Linked DNA regions of Arabidopsis thaliana. The protein of the gene in region 1 interacts with the protein of each later gene in a pairwise test. Each region holds a gene or a part of one and is shown on either strand. Other genes may lie near its edges.

The links.
Region 2: the proteins of PIN7 (region 1) and AT5G50520 interact in a protein complementation assay, tested with the Arabidopsis thaliana proteins (one large-scale study listed by BioGRID).

Annotation. Positions count from the first base shown.
Region 1 is NC_003070.9:8,181,926-8,185,853, reverse strand, and holds the start of PIN7 (Auxin efflux carrier family protein), read left to right. Parts: upstream 1-2,203; 5' UTR 2,204-2,447; coding exon 2,448-3,648; intron 3,649-3,725; coding exon 3,726-3,928. Other genes in the region: AST91 (sulfate transporter 91), read left to right, coding at 41-126, 292-368, 464-616. UniProt on the Arabidopsis thaliana protein: Acts as a component of the auxin efflux carrier. Mediates the initial auxin gradient which contributes to the establishment of the apical-basal axis in early embryogenesis.
Region 2 is NC_003076.8:20,569,517-20,573,444, reverse strand, and holds AT5G50520 (Major facilitator superfamily protein), read left to right. Parts: upstream 1-1,788; 5' UTR 1,789-1,857; coding exon 1,858-2,199; intron 2,200-2,395; coding exon 2,396-3,210; intron 3,211-3,299; coding exon 3,300-3,765; 3' UTR 3,766-3,912; downstream 3,913-3,928. Other genes in the region: AT5G50530 (CBS / octicosapeptide/Phox/Bemp1 (PB1) domains-containing protein), read left to right, coding at 1-25, 184-289, 380-438, 588-697, 776-894, 987-1,072, 1,154-1,243, 1,390-1,569.

The DNA.
Region 1 (3,928 bases):
CTAACATTCTCTGCTTTTGTGTTGCATAAATTTTTTGTAGAACATCTCGTTGGATTGAAGAATGCGAAGAAGAGGAAGCTCAAGAGAAGCATTCTAGCCTACAGTTCTTGATTCTTGAAATGTCAGGTTAGTCTTGATAGAATCTATTAGAAACCCGTATAGGAAATGTGATTAGACTTAAAGGCAAATTCACTCATTGCTAATTAGTTTTAATTTTCTAATGCAAAACCATAAAACTCAAGAAAACCAATATATTTCAACTAGCTAACTTTGCTTTTATATATGTTAAAGCCGTGAGCGGTGTAGACACAAACGGAGTGTCCTTTTTTAAGGAACTTAAGAAAACAACCGCCAAGAAGGACATCGAGGTAAAAATAGTTGTTTTCACAATCCGATTTTGTCACTTATCCAAGGAAACTAATTAGATTTTGATCTAAACTGGATATTTATTTTATGTGTGAAGCTTGTGTTTGTGAACCCTCTAAGCGAAGTGGTGGAGAAGCTTCAAAGAGCTGACGAACAAAAAGAGTTCATGAGGCCCGAGTTTCTCTTCTTAACCGTCGCTGAGGCCGTTGCGTCGCTCTCTCTTAAAGGGCCATCTCTCAGTAACGTTTAACTATAATTTTTTGTATCGGTCCAATATTGATATTTAACCGATGGTTAAATTTTTCTTTTTGTCTCTTTTTCATCTTTTAATTTCAGTACAGATGTAATATTACGTTCTTCTCTCTCTTTCTTCAGTGATGATTTTGGTCAAGATATGTTTGTATGATTTCGCCATTTTGTAGTTTACTAGGCCATGTTTAGTCTCCGAGAATAAAATTGATCTAGAATCGAATTGATATCTTAGCTAGATCAAACGGATGTATATCCAAATTATTTATGAAATAAACTGATTAAATAAAAAAATAAAAATAATATTTTTATTTAAGATAATTATGTTTTATAATATTAGAAAATATGACCAAACCATGAGCAGAATTGTGTTAAGAACTTTGCCAAGTTAGAGCTTACATTATATATCAAAAGTCAATGTGTAATTGTCAAGAGGGATAAACCGACGCGGATGAATCGAAGAAGCAATTGCTTTCAAGAAGACTTCAAATCAGCTATGTGTCTGCGATTATAATTGTGTAAACGTTATAAGCAAGAAATTTATCTCAAAATAAAACTGGTCTATAAATCAAATCGAATTGAAAATTTAGCTAGATTAAAAGATGAAATGAACTGATAACATAAACTAATAGATATTTTTAATAAGATGTTACTACTTTTGTGAAATGATAAAATATTTCTGAAGTTAATCGAATTCATTCAAAGCTATGATAACATTGTGACTTCTAGGAAAAAACAATTCTTGATACGGTCGCGGAAAGATCTTGATAACATTGTGACTTCCAGTCTTCCATATGGCATAAGGTATTCTTTTACACTAATACTTTCCCGACAACAACAACGAAAAACTCCAACCTTTTTTTAAAAGGCCACATAGAATGCATGATAGACCATCTGAAAGAAAATGGACAGGGTGGCTTAAAAGTGAGATTTCTTGGGATTGCATAGGATGTTATAATTAACCCTAGCTTGAAAAAAAAAAGACGATTAGACAATAAGAAATAGAATTTAGGTCAACTTAGTTCGGCGAATATGATCTTGCATTGCACCTTCTTTACCAATTTATAGTGATCTTTTGCTCCTTATAAGCACATGTTTAAATCACCACTACGACATTGTTTCTGTTTGGGCCAAATGCACACTTGTATTTTATCTCACAACGAGCTTATGAGAAATCAATCCTAGTAATACGTTAAGTGGCCCAAGAAGTTTTGGACCGGCATTTACGTGTATATAAAAAAATATTATGATTACTTTTAGATGAAACCACACTTAATTTCTTCTTTTTTCTTGGTAAACCACAATATCTCTTTATTGTTTTTATCAAGGATTCACAAAATTCATTGAATGGAAATTTTCATTTATGTGTGACATGTAGACAGTCAGTCCACTCTAAAAAATCTCAGTCAATTTCGTAACAAATTCATAACCTATTTCAAACACAATTCATAACCATAACTTATAAATACTACATAAATGATATTTCTTTATATCATCTTAAATGGTACATAAATTAGGGGAAAGCTAAGATATATATAGTATTAAAAAGTACAAAAATAGATAAGGTTTATAAATGTTTAAAGAAGTAATAAAATAGAAATAAGAACTAATTAGGTCGTCATGTGTTTGCTGTATAAAAAGCTGTAAAGGGACATCTCTCGTAAATCTAAAAATCATCAAATCTTCTCCTTCTCTCTCTCTCTCTCACACACTCACTAGCTTCTCTGTTAAAAGCTTCCGTCATCACATAGAGAACAGAGACTGACACTAACTCACTTCCTAACGGTTTCCACACTCAAAATTACACTTTTGCCACTCCGGCGAACAACAATATGATCACATGGCACGACCTCTACACCGTCCTCACGGCGGTGATACCACTCTACGTAGCCATGATCCTCGCTTACGGCTCAGTCCGGTGGTGGAAAATCTTCTCACCAGACCAATGTTCCGGCATAAACCGCTTCGTCGCTATTTTCGCCGTCCCTCTTCTCTCTTTCCACTTCATCTCCTCAAACAATCCTTACGCAATGAATCTCCGATTCATCGCAGCCGATACACTCCAAAAACTAATCATGCTCACTCTCCTAATCATCTGGGCTAACTTCACTCGCTCCGGTAGTCTTGAATGGAGCATCACAATCTTCTCTCTTTCAACACTTCCCAACACTCTCGTTATGGGAATACCTCTCTTGATCGCCATGTACGGAGAATATTCCGGCTCACTCATGGTTCAGATCGTTGTTCTTCAGTGTATAATCTGGTACACGCTTCTTCTCTTTCTTTTCGAATACAGAGGAGCTAAGATCTTGATCATGGAACAGTTTCCAGAGACTGGTGCTTCGATTGTATCGTTCAAAGTTGAGTCCGATGTTGTTTCTTTAGATGGACATGATTTTCTTGAAACTGATGCTCAAATCGGTGACGATGGTAAGCTTCATGTTACGGTGAGAAAATCAAACGCTTCTCGGAGATCTTTTTACGGTGGTGGTGGTACTAATATGACTCCTCGTCCGTCTAATCTCACCGGAGCTGAGATTTATAGTCTTAACACTACTCCAAGAGGATCTAACTTCAATCATTCTGATTTTTACTCTATGATGGGGTTTCCCGGTGGCCGGCTTTCGAACTTTGGTCCGGCGGATATGTACTCTGTTCAGTCCTCGAGAGGACCTACTCCTAGACCTTCGAATTTTGAGGAGAGTTGTGCTATGGCTTCTTCGCCAAGATTCGGGTATTACCCGGGAGGAGCTCCCGGGTCGTACCCAGCTCCTAATCCGGAGTTTTCTACCGGTAATAAAACCGGTAGTAAAGCTCCAAAAGAGAATCATCATCATGTAGGAAAATCAAATAGTAATGATGCTAAGGAGCTTCATATGTTTGTTTGGGGATCCAACGGATCACCCGTTTCGGACCGAGCTGGTCTTCAAGTTGATAATGGAGCCAATGAACAAGTCGGAAAATCCGATCAAGGCGGTGCAAAAGAGATTCGAATGTTGATCTCTGATCATACTCAAAATGGTGAAAACAAAGGTTTTTAACTTTTAAATTGTATTTTTTTTTGTAACATATGGACACAAATCTCAAACTGTATTTGCTTAAATTTGTAGCTGGTCCGATGAACGGGGACTATGGCGGGGAAGAAGAGTCGGAGAGGGTAAAGGAAGTGCCTAACGGACTACACAAGCTTCGGTGTAACTCCACAGCAGAGCTAAACCCTAAAGAAGCTATAGAAACGGGTGAAACTGTACCGGTAAAACATATGCCACCAGCGAGTGTGATGACTCGGCTGATATTGATAATGGTGTGGAGG
Region 2 (3,928 bases), on another chromosome or scaffold:
TCAAGAGACAACTACTGTGGAGAAGGTAAAGTTTTCGTTAAGTTCGTGTTTTCGCTATATATGTATGTATGCTTATGCTCGTTAGTTTTGAATCTGGTTGAAATTATTCTTTTCAACTCTTAGATTTATATGAGTACTCATTTTTCGTCTTTGTTGTTTCTTTTCAATCCCATTATTCTATAGGTTATGACACCGAATCCAGAATCTGCAACAGTTGATATGGCAATTGTTGAAGCCTTACATATCATGCATAATGGCAAATTTCTGCATCTTCCTGTATTGGATAAAGGTAACAAAATGTCCTCAAAACTGACTTTGAGCTATAAAGTATGAAGCATTGTTATTTCAACACTTGTCTAATGTTGATGATTACATACAGATGGAGATGTTGTCGCTGTTATTGATGTGATCCACATAACTCATGCTGCTGTTACTACGGTACACTTTTTTTCTTCTATTATTCTCTTCTAGTTGAAGTCGAAAACATGAGACAAGATCGATAAACAATCCGAGAGAAGAAAGAACATGATATATTTGTTGCATACTATTCTTGTTTTGCTATAAACTCTTTATTTCCTTTTGACAAGGCTGGAAGTACGGCTGGAATAAACAATGAGACAGCAAACTCAATGATGCAAAAGTTTTGGGACTCTGCTATGGCTTTGTCTCCTAACGAAGATGGCGATGAAACGAGGAGGTTTCTACTCATATTCCTTTGAACCATTTAGTTTTGACCATAAGGTGGTTTCTTAAACTGGATCATATGATTTTTCAGTGAAGAAGAGTCGATGAAATTATCTTCGGAGATAGAAGTAACAAAATCATTTTCATATCCCAACACATTTGCTTTTAAACTCCAAGATAAAAAGGGACGAATGCATAGATTTATGTGTGGTACGTTAAATCATAACTCTTGAGAAACAGGACACCTATTATGCCAATGCTGCTTAGTCCATTAACCTTTTGTTTTTACTTTTCAATAACAGAAACACAGAGTTTGACAACTCTGATAACAGCAATCCTACAAAGAATGGGGGATGACATTGAGCCTGATAACTTGCCTCAGATAATGGTACATATTTATTCGAAAACTTATTAAACGAGAAGATAGGAAAAATTTTCTTCTTTTGTTGACATATTTTGTGTTGTGTAGTACGAAGATGAAGACAATGACAAAGTTGTTTTAGCATCAGATAATGATCTTGGAGCTGCTGTAGAACATGCAAAATCAATAGGCTGGAAGGTAATAAATTGTACATCCATACTTATTGTCAATTAGTGTAAAGAACTAGGATGAAATGATACCTTAAATCCGCGGTCTCGTTTTGGTTAATGTGGATTTTGGGCTAAAGAAGAGTATATTTGGGTTGGGGATTCCAAATGGTGCAGGGTTTAAAATTGCATTTGGACTACACAGAAGAAAGAGGGCACAGGAGAGGTCTAAGTTCAGAGGATATGGACTACGACCAGTCAAACTCATGGGCAGCCGCTTACAAAACGGTTGCAGCCGGGGCTGCTCTTGCTGCTGGACTTGGAGTTTTGGTGTACCTTAAGCGCAACTCAAACTAACAGATTCATTTTGGGGAGATACAAAAGTGAATGCTTTTGCAAACCAATTTTTAAACCTAAGCTTGTGAAGTGTATACCTCTTCATTGATTCGTGTTTTTTTTTTTTTTTTATCTTGTTGCTTATTTGTTTCTCAACCTTACACATGAATTGTATATAAATAAGTAAACATTTTATTTGTATTTACGGTGTTGTCCAAACTTTTCTTTGAAACTGAAAATTACAAAATAAGTAATCATATGAATCAACGAAAAAAAAAAAGAAATAGAAAGTTTTGAGAGCGTTTGACTATGATGACTTTGTGGCGTCACAAACTAGAGCTCCTAGTCAACGACCGATGGCTAGTTTTCGTCTGCGCCATGTGGGTCCAATCCGTCGCCGGCGTTGGCTATCTATTCGGCGGCTCTATGTCTCCGGCAATCAAGACTTCCCTTGGCTACAATCAGAAACAGATCGCTCTTCTCGGCGTAGCTAAAAACCTCGGTGACGCCATCGGATTCGTCTCCGGTGCTTTATCTGAAGTCTCACCTTCCTGGGTGGTTCTACTCGTCGGTGCAACTCAGAACCTTTTCGGCTACGGTGTTGTTTGGCTCGTCGTCACTGGCCAATTGCCTAATTTGCCTCTCTGGATGGTGAGATGAATTTTACAAATCAAAATTGCTTACACATTTGCGATTTCGTTAGTAATTGTGCTTTGCTTTTGATTATTTGTACGATTCTCTAATTTTGGCTTGAACTTCCAGATATTCAAAAAAAAAAAAAAAAAAAGATGTTAAAGCTTACATATGAGTGTGATCCTGCTTGATTCTGGTTTATTTGTTCATGTAGTTGTTTGTTGCTATATTCGTGGGAACAAATGGGGAAACATACTACAATACAGCGTCGCTTGTGTCATGCATTCATAACTTCCCAGAAAGCCGAGGTCCTGTGGTGGGAATCCTGAAAGGGTTTTCTGGCTTGAGTGGAGCAATCTTGACTCAGGTTTATTTGATGTTCAACCCTTCTCATGATTCTTCGGTTATTCTCATGGTTGCTCTTGGACCACCAGTCGTGGTTCTTGCTCTACTATTTATTGTTAGACCCGTGGAAAGAAGTTGCAGAACGAACTTGCGATCTGATGATTTAAGATTCCTGGCTATTTACGGTTTCTGTGTTGTCCTTGCGGTATATTTACTAGGATTGTTGGTACTTCAGAGTGTTTTTGATATGACTCAAACGATTATCACAACCTCTGGAGCCATCCTTGTCATTTTCATGGTTGTTCCAGTTCTTGTCCCTTTTTCATCGGTTTTCATCTCGGGTAATAATGTCACCTCAGTGAAGCCTGAAGAAGGAACTTCCAATGTGGATCAGCATGAGGCTAGAACTTTAATTGAGAGAAGTGACAGACCGCCGGAAAAGAAAAGAGCGCCGTGTATAGGAGAAGATTTCACCTTGTTACAAGCTTTGGGACAAGCTGACTTCTGGCTTATATTTATGTCTCTGGTTCTAGGTGTAGGTTCGGGAATCACGATTATAGACAATCTTGGTCAGATTTGTTATTCCCTCGGGTACAGCAACACCAAAATATTTGTCTCACTGATCAGCATCTCCAATTTTCTCGGCCGTGTTGCTGGTGGCTACTTCTCTGAGCTAATCATAAGGTACAAAACCCTTAACCATTTCACTTTCGCTTTTAAGAAGCATCTGTGTTTTTTACTGACAGATTCATCTCTTTCTGCCTCTTCAAAAGGAAACTCTCACTTCCAAGAACGTTGGCAATGTCTGTGGTTCAGGCGATAATGTCTTTGGGGCTCATCTACTATGCCATAGATTGGCCAGGGAAGATCTACGTAGTGACCATTGTGATAGGAATGGGTTATGGCGCTCATTGGGCGATTGCTCCTGCTTCAGTCTCTGACATTTTTGGCCTGAAGAGCTTCGGTTCTCTTTACAATTTCCAGATTACAGCTTTGCCTATTGGGTCATTTGTGTTCTCAGGTGTGATCGCTAGTAACATCTATGACTACTACGCCAGAAAGCAAGCCGGACCCACCACAGAGACTGAGTCGCTCGTCTGCACGGGCTCGGTGTGTTATTCAGTCACGTGCAGTCTCATGTCCATGTTGTGTCTAATGGCTATGGTTTTGAGTTTGAGTGTGGTTTATAGGACGAGGAAGTTTTACTTGAGGCTTCATCACCGAGTCTCAAAGACTTGAAGATAGTGTAATTGTGTAAGCAATTTTCATTTGGTCTTTGGAAGATATATGTAAGCAATTTTGAATTCCATACTCAAAATCTTTAATTGGTGTTCACAAGTATTTAAATGTAACATTAAAAAAATAATTGCCCTAAAAGAGTTAGATAACTTACATTACATAA